3 linked regions of the Oryctolagus cuniculus genome follow. The protein of the gene in region 3 interacts with the protein of the main gene of each other region in a biochemical or structural test. Links are inferred from orthologs where the notes say so. Each region holds a gene or a part of one and is shown on either strand. Other genes may lie near its edges. The genes, in order: AMER1, MCM3 and KEAP1.

The links.
Region 1: the proteins of KEAP1 (region 3) and AMER1 form a complex in vitro, tested with the Homo sapiens proteins (2 studies listed by BioGRID). The link is inferred for Oryctolagus cuniculus from reciprocal best matches to the Homo sapiens genes KEAP1 and AMER1.
Region 2: the proteins of KEAP1 (region 3) and MCM3 form a complex in vitro, tested with the Homo sapiens proteins (2 studies listed by BioGRID, with this or other methods). The link is inferred for Oryctolagus cuniculus from reciprocal best matches to the Homo sapiens genes KEAP1 and MCM3.

What each region holds. Positions count from the first base shown.
Region 1 is NC_091453.1:44,206,508-44,210,537, forward strand, and holds the start of AMER1 (APC membrane recruitment protein 1), read right to left. Parts: upstream 2,820-4,030; 5' UTR 2,603-2,819; intron 1-2,602. UniProt on the Homo sapiens protein: Regulator of the canonical Wnt signaling pathway.
Region 2 is NC_091436.1:117,750,943-117,754,472, forward strand, and holds part of MCM3 (DNA replication licensing factor MCM3), read left to right. Parts: intron 1-1,756; coding exon 1,757-1,897; intron 1,898-2,816; coding exon 2,817-2,920; intron 2,921-3,437; coding exon 3,438-3,523; intron 3,524-3,530. UniProt on the Homo sapiens protein: Acts as a component of the MCM2-7 complex (MCM complex) which is the replicative helicase essential for 'once per cell cycle' DNA replication initiation and elongation in eukaryotic cells.
Region 3 is NC_091447.1:66,950,685-66,954,959, reverse strand, and holds the start of KEAP1 (kelch-like ECH-associated protein 1), read right to left. Parts: upstream 2,815-4,275; 5' UTR 2,574-2,814; intron 2,396-2,573; exon of another isoform or gene 2,176-2,395; intron 1,923-2,175; exon of another isoform or gene 1,397-1,922; intron 970-1,396; exon of another isoform or gene 948-969; 5' UTR 901-947; coding exon 262-900; intron 1-261. UniProt on the Homo sapiens protein: Substrate-specific adapter of a BCR (BTB-CUL3-RBX1) E3 ubiquitin ligase complex that regulates the response to oxidative stress by targeting NFE2L2/NRF2 for ubiquitination.

The sequences.
Region 1 (4,030 bases), on a different chromosome or scaffold from region 3:
ACCTCTTCTCTCCTTCTGGGCCAGACCATCTCAACCGCAACAGTCAGTCAGCTCACTCACCCTGTCTGCCAGCTACTCTTCCCCACTCCGAATTTTTGCTAGCCCTCTGCCTACAAAGTCCTTGTACTTTCTGACAGCTTCCCAGGAAGATCTCCTGGCATACGCAGGTCTTTCCTCGCTCTCCACAGCAGCGTGCCCCTGAGTTAGCAACCAAAGGTATGCAAAATCTGGGGTCTGAGCCATCCAAATGCAGAGCTTCCTCTTGGGGGATCCATCACAATTTTTATTCTTGCAGTTGGAACCTAGACCCCTTCTCCATGCTCATAAGGCACACTCAGTAAATATCTGAGCCACGTGTATCCTTTCTCGAGTCACTTGCCAATCAAGACAAGCACAAGTTGGAAAGGTGAAGGTCTTCTCAGCTGCTCTACAAAGAGAGCAAGTCCTTGGGAGCATTCAGTAAGTGCCCTGCACTGCTAAGTTTTGAGAGAGTTGTGGCTGAGGTGCAGGTTTCATTTGTTCCTCTGAAGGGTTCTGGGAGAACCCAGACATCCACAATACCAGGGAGACAAAGCAAAGGTAGGGAAACTTAATTACAGTCTGCCTTCTATTATAATTTAAGCCAGAAAATGCCCAGGAGACGCAGGTAGCCCTGGAGGAGTTGGGGGGGGGGCAGTGAGGGAGAAGTCACCATGGGTGGCAAACAGGGAGGCAGAAAAGGCACCAAAGAGAAGGTAGGCCTAGAACTGGGGCCTGCCAGGGAAGAGGATCTGGACAGGTGGAGCTCAGTAGGTTTGGATGTGGGGAAGGGAATTACATAGAGCAGTGAGATACATTAGGGGACTGTAGGCCTGAACAAGGCAGGGGGCACGTTCTACCCTGAACTGGAGAGATCCAGCTACAAGTGGAGGCCTGGTCACGGTGGTCTCTGCAGTCCTGGCTGGTGTCAAAAAGGTCCCCAGCTAGCCTTCCCCCAAGTCAGGGATTTACTGGGTCTTATTGCCCCTCTGCAAAGGTGGCCAGGGTTCGCCTGGGCCCTGCAGTCCACGGGTTCTCCACCCTCAGAGGTTGATCAAAGGTCCAAGCAGAGCCTGCCAGGTTCCTGTTCCTCAGAAAGGCCTACAGAGCCCATTGCCAGAGGTGCACCATGGTGCAGTGCCTGTGCAGTGGGTGGGGCCGAATGAGGGGAGCTGCACGGGGCTGGGGGTGGGGGGCTGAGCTGGAATCCCCACGGGCGGGGCAGGAGGGAGTCCAACAGCGCAGTGCCCTCCACCCTGCCCATGCCCACGCCGCTGCGGCAGGCGGGCAGAGCCGCAGAGGGAGGTGTTTGTGTGCGGGACAAGGCTCGCCTTGACCCTGCGGCCCACGCCGCGGCGAATCTGACCAAACGAAGGCTAGCTCAGCTCTGCGGGGCCAGTCGAGCTGCCGCCTGGGCGTCTGGGCTGCGGCTCGCCAGGCGGGCACAGCCCCCTCACTGCCTGAGCAGCAGCCCAGGCAAAGTCCGGCGTCTGGGCGGTCACCAGTGTCAGAGGTGTCTTTAGCAGACAATGACAGTGGCCAGGCGGGTTGGATATTTTAAGTAACTGCAAAGTTGTCAGGCTCGACTCCCTAGCACCAGCCCTTTCACATACACAGCGACGGTGCGTCCCCTACTACAATGACTGGCTCCTCGGCCTCTGGCACGGAAATTCCCGCACAACACTGCGCCTATGGATATTTTTAAAAAGGAGGCCTTAGAGAAAAGCGCGCCAGTGCCCCTCCAAGGGAAAAAGAGGAGAGGCCGGGGCCGGGGGGAGACAAAGCGGCCTTGCAGCTCTAACCCAAGGACTAGCTTGCGCTGCAGCTCTGACCCAAGGACCAGCAAGAGCCCGCTGCCGGCCCGCCTGCCCGCGGAGGCGGGCGCCAGATGCGCCCGGAGGCCCAGGAGGAGGGGGCGCGGCTGGTTGGGGCCGCCAGGCCGAGGCTCTGAAGGGAAGCGGGCAGCCCACAGGCCTAAGGGAGCTTCCCTCAGGCCCGAGGGAGCTCCCCTAGAGAGGGGGCAGACAGTGTGGATAGGCTAATCCACGCCAAAGCCAGTCCCAGTGGGGCCCGAACCAGCGCGCCGGCTTCGTCCGCAGAGAGGAGGGAGAGGCAGGAGATGCGCAGCAGAGGGGAGGGGCCGCAGCAGGGCCGCTGGGGTGAGCAGTACCCGCGTACCACAGCTGTTCCAGCAAATGTGCTACAACAAAGCTGCGGAGCTCCCGGCCTACAGATGCGCGGCCTGGGGTACTGGCTGGCGGCGCCCCTCCCGGGACTGCGCGGCAGCACGTGCGGGCCCATCCCCGCCTCCCCCAAAAGCCTGGAGGCATGGCCCATGCTAGCTCGCCCTCCCCACCCTCCATACCTTCCCCACCCCCAGCCTTGGTCGCCCGCGCCCAAGGGACTCGCGGCCGCTGGGCCCCTCACGGACAGTCTGTAAAGCGGGCTCCAAAGGAGAGAGGCCAGCGGCCCCGTTCCAACCAGCCCAGTCCTTAGTGCCCTCCTCCAGGCGACCCGAGCGAAGCACGCGGGAATGCACCCGACCGCCCGCAGGCGGAGGCTCCTGGCTGCGCGCAATGCTTACCCGGCCCGGTCCGGCTCCCAGCCCGGTTATTGTCTGCTGCGCCGCCCTGGCCGCGGCTGGATCCTCGGCTGCCGCGGCCGAGAGCGCCGCCACCGCTGCTCCTGGCGCCGCCGCCGCGGCTCCAGTCACCTCCTGCACTGACTCCCCTTCCCCAGGCTTTGGGCAGCTCCCCCATACCCCCTCCCCACCGGACTCCACGGCCACAGGGTGGGGCGTCATTGCTTTGATTGGCGGGCGTATGACCCAATCGCTATGGTGGAAAGGCGTGCCCGGACTGCCCACTGTTTTCCTTGGTGCGTTTCTCTTTAAATGCAAATAAGCGCGGGCGTGGTGTTGGCAGGAGGCGGAGAGGGTGCGGAAACCCTTTCTGGGGCTCCCCGCTCCCGCCCCCACGCCAGGCGGGTTGCGGCGTGGCTACACCGCTGGCTGGATGGGCCGGTCCCTCCCGGATGGAGTTCGCTGGATCCCTGGAGTTCGGTTTCGGTTTTGTACGCGCTCCCATTTTCGTGGCCGCCTGCATTCATTTTTCTGTGCCCTGGCTGCCACCCCGCCGTTCATCCCAGAGCTCTAGCTGGTAGAGAGTTTGGGTGGGTGGGGTCTAGAAGACTTCACAGCCCCTTGGCACCTTGGCTTGCCTATCCTTAGGCGTAGAGACAAGGCCCTGTGGCTCGCACTCCCAGACCACCCAGAGGAGGCACTCACCTGCTAGGCAAGCCAGCTGCAGCTCCCGTGCCCCAGCTTCATTGGTCTCTGTTGCACCCCAGGGCCCTTAGGGAGACTGAGGTCGACTTCCACCCGTTACGGACAAGCCGGCTACTGTCCTGAGAAAGGAAGGAATTTCCCCAAGGTTCCCCAGCCTGTCCTAGACAGGGGCAGATTTGGATTACAGAGCCCCAAACTTCCCACTCAGGGCTGCTTTAACTTTTCTTCTATGGGGAGATGTTTCCCCGTCTTGCACAGAGCCTTCTGGAGATCCACAAGGTCTCCAGAGACCCTTCTCGCTCCCCTTTAACTGTGAGCCTGACTGTCTACAGGTCCCTGTCCCTGGAAAGTCTAGATGTTGAGAGAAAAATCTTGTCGGGGCCCAGACAGGAGGTTGTGCTGAAGACACAGGGAGTAGGCCTGTAGCAGCCTTGCCCTCCTCTCTGAGATGTGGCAGGGGGCCAGCCCAGCTTGGGTCTCTAGCCTGAGGACATTAAGTGGCATTAGTGGCTGCCAGGGCCAGGTGAGCTGAGGCAACAAAGAATCCAGTTCTACCACTAGCTCAAGAATATCCAGAAGGCCCTGCCCTAAAACTGTGAAAGTCTCAAAAGGCAGGAGGGTGGGTTAAGGCTGAGGAGAGGGGGAAGGATTAGAGAACAATGCATGCCAGTTTTGTATTGCAGGAGTGTTCTGTGCTGCTCCACGGGGTCCTGTCTGCCTTGAAAA
Region 2 (3,530 bases), on a different chromosome or scaffold from region 3:
TCTCTAGTAACCTAACACCGCTGCCCTTAAATTTAAATCTTTTGAGGTTAGTGGTGTTCATGCAGATTATCACAGCAGGAAGACTCTCAAGTTCAAAACCCTGCTTATGTGACACTGACATGAACTCTGGGAACTTAGATATGACCCCAGATCTTGTACTCTAGCCCCATGCTATCTCCTGGGAGCCCAGCTTGGACTTCTTTACACGCCTTGGTGAAAGCACTTTCAGAACATCACTGCACTGAAATCTTAGAGTATCCCATTTATTCAGTTTAAACCTGTTTCCCCACATCTACCCTTTCTTTGATCTTAGTTTTGTTTTCTGAAGATTGTATGTCACTTGTCTTCTTAGCTCTCTTTCAGCTGTTCCTCTCTACATGTGAACCTATTGCTGTGTGTCAGAGATCCTCTCAGTGAACCTAGAATTCAACAAAATATGGCATTTTAATCATCTTGCTGGGGTTGGTAGATCCCTCAATTTGTATTCTCTAGAATGGACCTTGTACTGGAGGGTATAATCTCCAAATTCTTGTAACTTTCTAAGGGATTAAAAGATTTGGTGACTAGATCTCTTTAAATGTGAAGGAGTGGATATAAATGGAAACTTAGAAAACATGCAAGTAAATGTGACCAGAGCAGATCAGTAAAGGATCATATGAGGGGCAGTGGGAAGGTGCCAAAGAACTAGCCCTCTGTCTGTTCTTCTCTGGACTTGAGCTACTGAAAGATTTGTTCTCAGATTACCTCTTCTATGCCCTTCCCTTGTAATCTTGAGCAGCCCTTTGAGTCCCGTTTCCTTCACCTGTAGAACTTTTACAGATTATTCAGAAGGTTAAATGACAGAATGAATAGAACAGCAGACTTCTGGCTACATTGTATGCCTGCATTAAATGATTATTTTTCACATTTGTACTCTTTCTGGCCTTTTATCTTTCCAGCTGTTAAGATGTCTAAATTTCTTCTTTCCTATTTTCTCTCCCTCAACACTTGACATTTTGATATCTGAGTGTTATTTTGTATCTATAGAGAATGTAGAGCTCTGAATTTTTTGGGTTTCCTGGAGCTTTCTGATATTTTCTAAAATATTTATTTGAGGGACAAACAGAGCTACCATCCACTGGTTCAGTCCCAGATGCCCACAATGGCAAGGATAGTTGGAGGAGTCCCAGAAACTGACTCCAGGTTTCCCACATGGGGAAGCAGGAACCCAACTACATACATCATTACTGCTGCCTCCTATGGTCTGCGTTAGTGGGAAGCTGGAATCAGGCAGTAGAGCTGGGAATCAAATCTAGTCAAGCACTCAGAGATAGGCCTCTTTGTGTGTGTGTGTGTGTGTGTGTGTGTGTGTGTGTAAGATTTTATTTATTTATTTATTTGAGGCCGAGTTACACACAGAAGGAGGGAGAGACAGAAAGGTCTTCCGTCTGCTGATTCAATTCCCAAAAGACCGCAGTAGCTAAAGCTGGGCCTCCCATGTAGGTGCAGGGGCCCAAGAACTTAGGCCATCCTCCACTGCCTTCCTAGGCCATAAGCAGAGAGAGGATTGGAAGAGGAACAGCAGGGACACAAACCGGGATGCCGGAGCTGCAGGCAGAGGCCCATCCTGTTATGCCACCGGCCTGCCCTGACATGGGCCTCTTAACTGCTAAGCCAAACACCCACTCCTGGTGGTATCTCTGTTTCACTTTTTGTACAGTAGGAATGATGGCTAACCAAAGCTGGATAAATGATCCTATCTTGCTTTCTACTGTAGACATCGCCAGTTACAGCCCGAACACTGGAAACCCTGATTCGATTGGCCACTGCCCATGCAAAGGCCCGCATGAGCAAGACTGTGGACCTTCAGGATGCAGAGGAAGCTGTGGAGTTGGTCCAGTATGCTTACTTCAAAAAGGTGAGGATTCCGATGTTTGGGCATGGGAAGACTTGTGAGTAAATCACAGGCGCGTGGACTCAACAACCCTGCACGGCTGACACCTGCGCTGGCTCTTGAGCTGAAAGCAGCATTTGTCTGCCTTACTCCTCCCTGTGGAACAGTGGTGCACAAGCCTGGCTGCTCCTGAGACTCAGATGGAAGGCTTTAAAGTAACAGTGCCAGGGCTTCTGGAGATTATGGTTTAACGGAGCTGCTATGTGTTCAGGCCACTGCTTCTGCCTGCTTCCTTTGTCTTAAGGAAGTAGGTATTTCCTAAGGTTATCAGGGTAAACCTCTGATACCTCTCGACCCCTCTGTACCTTGCTTCTTGGCAGTCTCTTCAGATGTCCCATTGGCACCTCGGGTCAAGAATGAAACTCTCAAACTTGCCTCTCATCCTGGTTCCCTATTTCTGTGTTGAAATTGTATCCTTGTGGTTCTAGATATCAAGCCTTTAAGCCTTGCCTCTTTGCACCTCCCTGCCCCTTCCCTTCCTGTATCTAGTGATGTAGCCCTGAAGGATTTAGTTATGGTTTGATATGCTTTTCTTGGATTTTTCTCTTAGCCAGGTTTGGGGATGTCTTAAATTTCAATTTAATACCTGATTTGTAAAGAAATGAATTGTTTCCTACTTAACCATTATGGGCTGGACAGTCCCCCACCCCCTTTTATTTCTTGATTGAGCATCTACTATGTGAAAGATATCCCAGCATTTTAAAAATAAGTAATGACCTCTCCCTCTGTCTCTGGTCCTGGGACTTGGGGACAAGAGAGGCTGTGTAAGTCATTAGAAACCTGGGAATCCTTTCTGCTGATGCTCAGAAGGGACTCTTCAGAGTTCTTCAGCTTCATAGCGTCAGTGACCCCTTCAGCCCACCCATGCTTGCCTTGGTCATAGGTTCTGGAGAAGGAGAAGAAGCGTAAGAAGCGGAGTGAGGATGAGTCGGAGTCAGAAGAAGAAGGGGAGAAAAGCCAGGAGGAACAAGAACAGAAAAGGAAGAGGTGAGGTGGTACAGAACAACATTGAGTGGGGCTGGGGCTGGGGCTGGGGTGTGGAGGGTGGTTCAGCCCTGCTTACATAGAGAAAGAATACTTGACCTGCAGGGCTTGAAGATCAGGATAACCAGCCTGGGAAAGGAGAGGGAGTGAGTCCCTCTGTTGTGTGTTTTGTGAGGTATTTTTGATCCCCTTCCTGCTAAGGACCTGCTAAATAGCAGGAACAGTCACCCACTCACCGAGGATTTTGAATATATACTTAATAATCTTGAGGTCATTGTTTCCTCCTATGCCTGTGGTTGAATTTATATGAGTGGGTGATATGGAAAAAGAGCATTGTGCAGCAGGGCCTGCTTGTGCTCCAGGCTGCAGATTTGTTCTTTGGTAAATGTAGCAGTCGTACAGGCCTGAGCCTGCTGCTTCATCTCAGTGATAGGTGGCTATACTTCCTTTTCTCCGTGCTTATTGGCACAGGATGGGGCTCCAAAGCCTTTGTCTTTCTCACCTGCTCTGGTTATTTTAGGAGGAAGACTCGCCAGGTGGATGCCAAGGATGGTGAATCATACGACCCCTATGACTTCAGTGACACAGAGGAGGAAATGCCTCAAGGTGACTG
Region 3 (4,275 bases):
AAAGAGAACAAGGACCAGGGTCAGGGCAGCCAGCAGCCTGTCTTCGCTGTCCTGGAAGGAACTGCTGACCAGCGCTTGGCCGTGGTCACGGTCACTGCCTTCTGCCCCTACCTTTGACCCCAGGGAAACCAGGGTCACTGTCCTGGTGGTCAGATGTGTGGCCAGGGCCCTCGATCCTCCCCGGCTCCCCCTTGGCGTCTCACGGGGATCACGCCCTGGGGCGCGCCCCTCCGTGCCAAGCCCTCCCGCCTCCCGGCTCACCTCCCCGAAGTGCATGTAGATGTACTCGCGGGCGCGCTGGTGCAGCTCGGCGCAGCCGATCTGCTCGGCGAAGTTGGCGATGCCGATGGCGTTGCTGGGGTCCAGCTGCTGCACCAGGAAGTCGCTGCAGGCGCGGACGACGCTGTCGATCTGGTACATGACGGCACCGTTCATGACGTGCAGCACGCACTTCTCGCCCATGGAGATGGACGCCGTGTAGGCGAACTCAATGAGCCGCTCCATGACCTGGGGGTGGATGCCCTCGATGGACACCACCTCCATGCCCTGCTCCCGCAGCCCGTTGGTGAACATGGCCTTGAAGACCGGGCTGGACGAGGCCAGCACCACCTTGTGGGCCATGAACTGGGCGGCCGGCGTGTCCTCGTACTTGACCTGCAGCGTGACGTCACACAGCTGCTGGCTGAGCCGCAGCTCATTCATGATCCCGAAGGCCTGCTTGGTGTGGTCCTCCAGCGTGTAGCTGAAGGTGCGGTTGCCATGCTGGGAGGGCGTCACCTCGGCCTTGCACTCGGTGGAGGCGAACATCATGGCGTCCCCCGCCCCCTCGGGGCGCTGTGACTGCTGGGGCAGGAATCGGCTGCAGGCCTCCGCCCCGCTAGGCTCGGCTTCCGGCTGCATGAGGTTCCAAGTGACAAGGGATCACGCCGCCACGGACACTCAGGGGCCTGGAGGAGGGAGAGCACAGGGCTGGGGGCAGGGCAGGGGTCAGGCCAGCACCTGCCAGGCCCTCTTTCGTAAGACAGAGCCATTCCCAAAGCAAACCTGGTGAGGTGGGGTCCGGTGGAGCTCCCCACCTTCTCCTGGCCGTGCCCACCCAGGGGTCCACCCAGATCCTGCCCCCACCCCCAAAACCACACAGGACCCCTCAACAGCTGGCAGGATAGTCAGCTCTTGTCCACCCACTTCTCTCCAGCTCACTCCATCCAGCCATCCAGCTACCTCCTCCCTTCCCCAGTCATGTCAAGTTCATTCTTTCGCTCAGCCCTGCAACATCTATTGAGCGCCTGCTGTGTCCCAGGCACTGTGGTGTCCTGGCCCACACCCCTCTGGGAAGGTGAGGTTGGCGCTGGGGCGCAGGGAGCAGCAAGGTCCGGTCAGGAGCTGAGAGACTCACAGAGGCTGAGGGCCAGGGCTTGAGTCACGTTTTGAAATCCGCGGCACCTGCAAGGCGCTCCCAAGCTCTGGGGCTCAGCCCAACGTCGCCTCGTTCTCGCCCCCCCCCCAAACTCCACCGCGGAGCTTCAAGGGGGCAGGGAGCCCCCTGCAGGCCAGCGCTGGGGCCACCCTCTCCTGTGTGTCCCCGCGTCCCGCCCGCGGCCTGGCACTGCGCAGGAGCCAGTGGCTGGCCGGCTGCCCACGCCACGGTGCCTGCCAGAGCCGCCCTCCTCCACCCTGCCCGGCGCGCCGCTCGGCCCCCTCTCCCCATGCGAGGCCCCGGGCTGGCCTCTGGATCTTTGGCCAATCGGTCAACGGTGCCCCTGGGCACCAAGCACTTCCCCCCCGCCGCGAAGCGACAAGTGGGGGACTGCGCATGCCCCGCCTGAGCCGCCACCAAGGCCTTGGAGAAGCGAGGAAGTGACCCCGCCGCGGCCTCTTGGCAGCCAAGGCCGCAGCGCGCACCCAGCCGTCGCCAACGCCCCGGGATCCCCGGGCTTTCGTCTGCGTGCGCTCCCCCCCTGCGTCTCACTCCCGGCTTCCGTGCCTCTCCGGCCGCCCCGGCAGTGGCGCCGTCCAACAAAACGATCGGACCCCGGCCGCGCCCTCCCGGGGCCTCCGGGAACTCGGAGGCGGCCCCAGGGCCCCGCGCTCCCATTCCCGCGGCCCCCGGCCATGGTCGCCGGGGCGCCCGAGGCCCGCGGCGCCCGCAGCCTGGGCACAGGCCGCCTCACTCACCCCGCCATGGTCGCGCTGCGGCTCCGCCTCCGCCGCCGGAGCCCGGGCGCCTCCATCGCTGCGCGCCGGGGGGAGGCGCGGAGCGCGCGTAGGTCACCATGACTAAGCAGAGCGCGGCGCCGGCCATGTCAGAATAAAAGTCCGCCACCCCCCCACCCCACGCTCGGTGCGCCGCGGCTCCTGGCCCCGGGCGGCGTGGACAGGCCCCAGGCCGCGCCCCCAACCCCCGCCCGCGGTCGCCGGGTTGCGCAGCCCCGGCGCAGCAGCGACCACAGCGCCAGCCACGGCGGGGCGGGGGATCGCGGCTCCGTTCGGCCGCGTGGGGCGTCGGAGCCCCGAGTTCGAGGCCCCGTTCCGCGCCCCGGGATTCGCCGCCACCCCTGCCGGGGTTCACTCACCTCCGTCCCACGGGGTGGGGAGGCACGGGGCACGATGGTGCCACCCGCGCGCCACGCTTCCGGGAAGCCCGAGGCGGGGTGGTGGGTGGGGAGCCGCGGCTCTGCGCGGGGTGGCTTCGGCCCTAACTTTGCTACTGGGGACCCGAGGGCGCCCCCGCCGCCTATGGGGGGGCCTCGGCTCCGGGGCGGCGTGGCCAGCGGGGTCGCAGACGTCGGGTGGGGGGTGGCCTCCGGACTCCCGGGAAGGAGGCGGGGAGAAGGCGCGGAGGGCGCGGCGGGGAAGGAGCTGCGATTCCCCGCCTCTTTCCCCGCAGGTGCCTTCGCGAGGGACCCGGCGTCCCGCAAGGGTGCAAGGCCGGCGGGGCGGGCAGGTCTCGCACCCCTCTCGCACCGTCCCTTCCATCTGGGCAGGTTTCGTCCCTGGGGCTGCTGTGCGCGACACCTGTTCTTCTTATCCACACAGTGCATGCCCGCTGGAGCCACCTGCCTAGCTGGGTTCCTGTTGTCTTTATTTTTCAGTTATGCATGGAACCCACCTGCGGGGATTCGAACCCCCGACCCGCCTGCTGCTAACTCTGCGCCCACAGAACCTTAGTTTCTTCCACGTTCCGTGATGGCGAGGACAAAAGCGCTATTGCTAATTTTTCTCGGCACGGTTGCTCTTGATGACATGAAGTTAACTTTTCAACAGACGCATTTCAAGTTTGAAAAGTGGACAGGCCGAGGAGATGTTTGTCTAAGAACAGGGTTGCTGGAGTCTCCGACGTGAAATCTGGGGGCTTTTGATGTTCGGGCTCTGGGTCTGGGGTTGAACCGGGCTGGGGTGGAGCGCTCCCCACACTGGGCTGTGTGAAGCTGCAGTTCCGGGAAGCTCCCGAGGGGGGCGCTCCAGCCGTGACTGTAACCCACAGCCTCTGACATCTCTCCAAACCAAACCTGCAGGCCCCGTGGGCCAGCCGTGCTGCCTGTAGAGATGTACCCAAGAGACATTCACAAGCGTGCAAAAAAGTGTTATGTGCACAGTCTTACTGCAATATGAGGTCTGTTGTGGCAAAGAATTGTAGCAACCTGCGTGATGCTCCGTGGGCTTGGTACGAAGTGGCAGGGGCTGGTGTTGGGGCACGTGGAAGTAAGCGCCATCTGGCACATCGGCAACCCATATCAGAGTGCCTGCGCTTCCAACCCACCTTCCTGCGACCAGTGTGGGAAGGCTGCAGGCGTGGCCCAAGGACTGGAGCCCCTGCCACCCACGGGAGAGACAAGGATGGAGTTCCTGACTCCTGGCTTCAGCCTGGCCCAGCGTGGATGTTGCGTCTGGAGAGTGACCCACATTAAGATGCCCGTGTCCACACTGCTGCACGTGGCTCCCCCTCCTCTTCCTCGTCCTCCTCCTCTTCTTCTTAAGATTTATTTATTTATTTGACGGCTGGTGCCGCGGCTCACTAGGCTAATCCTCCGCCTTGCGGCGCCGGCACACGGGGTTCTAGTCCCGGTCGGGGCGCCGGATTCTGTCCCGGTTGCTCCTCTTCCAGGCCAGCTCTCTGCTGTGGCCCGGGAGTGCAGTGGAGGATGGCCCAAGTGCTTGGGCCCTGTACCCCATGGGAGACCAGGAGAAGCACCTGGCTCCTGGCTTCAGATCAGCACAGCGCCGGCCGCAGCAGCCATTGGAGGGTGAACCAACGGCAAAGGAAGACCTTTCTCT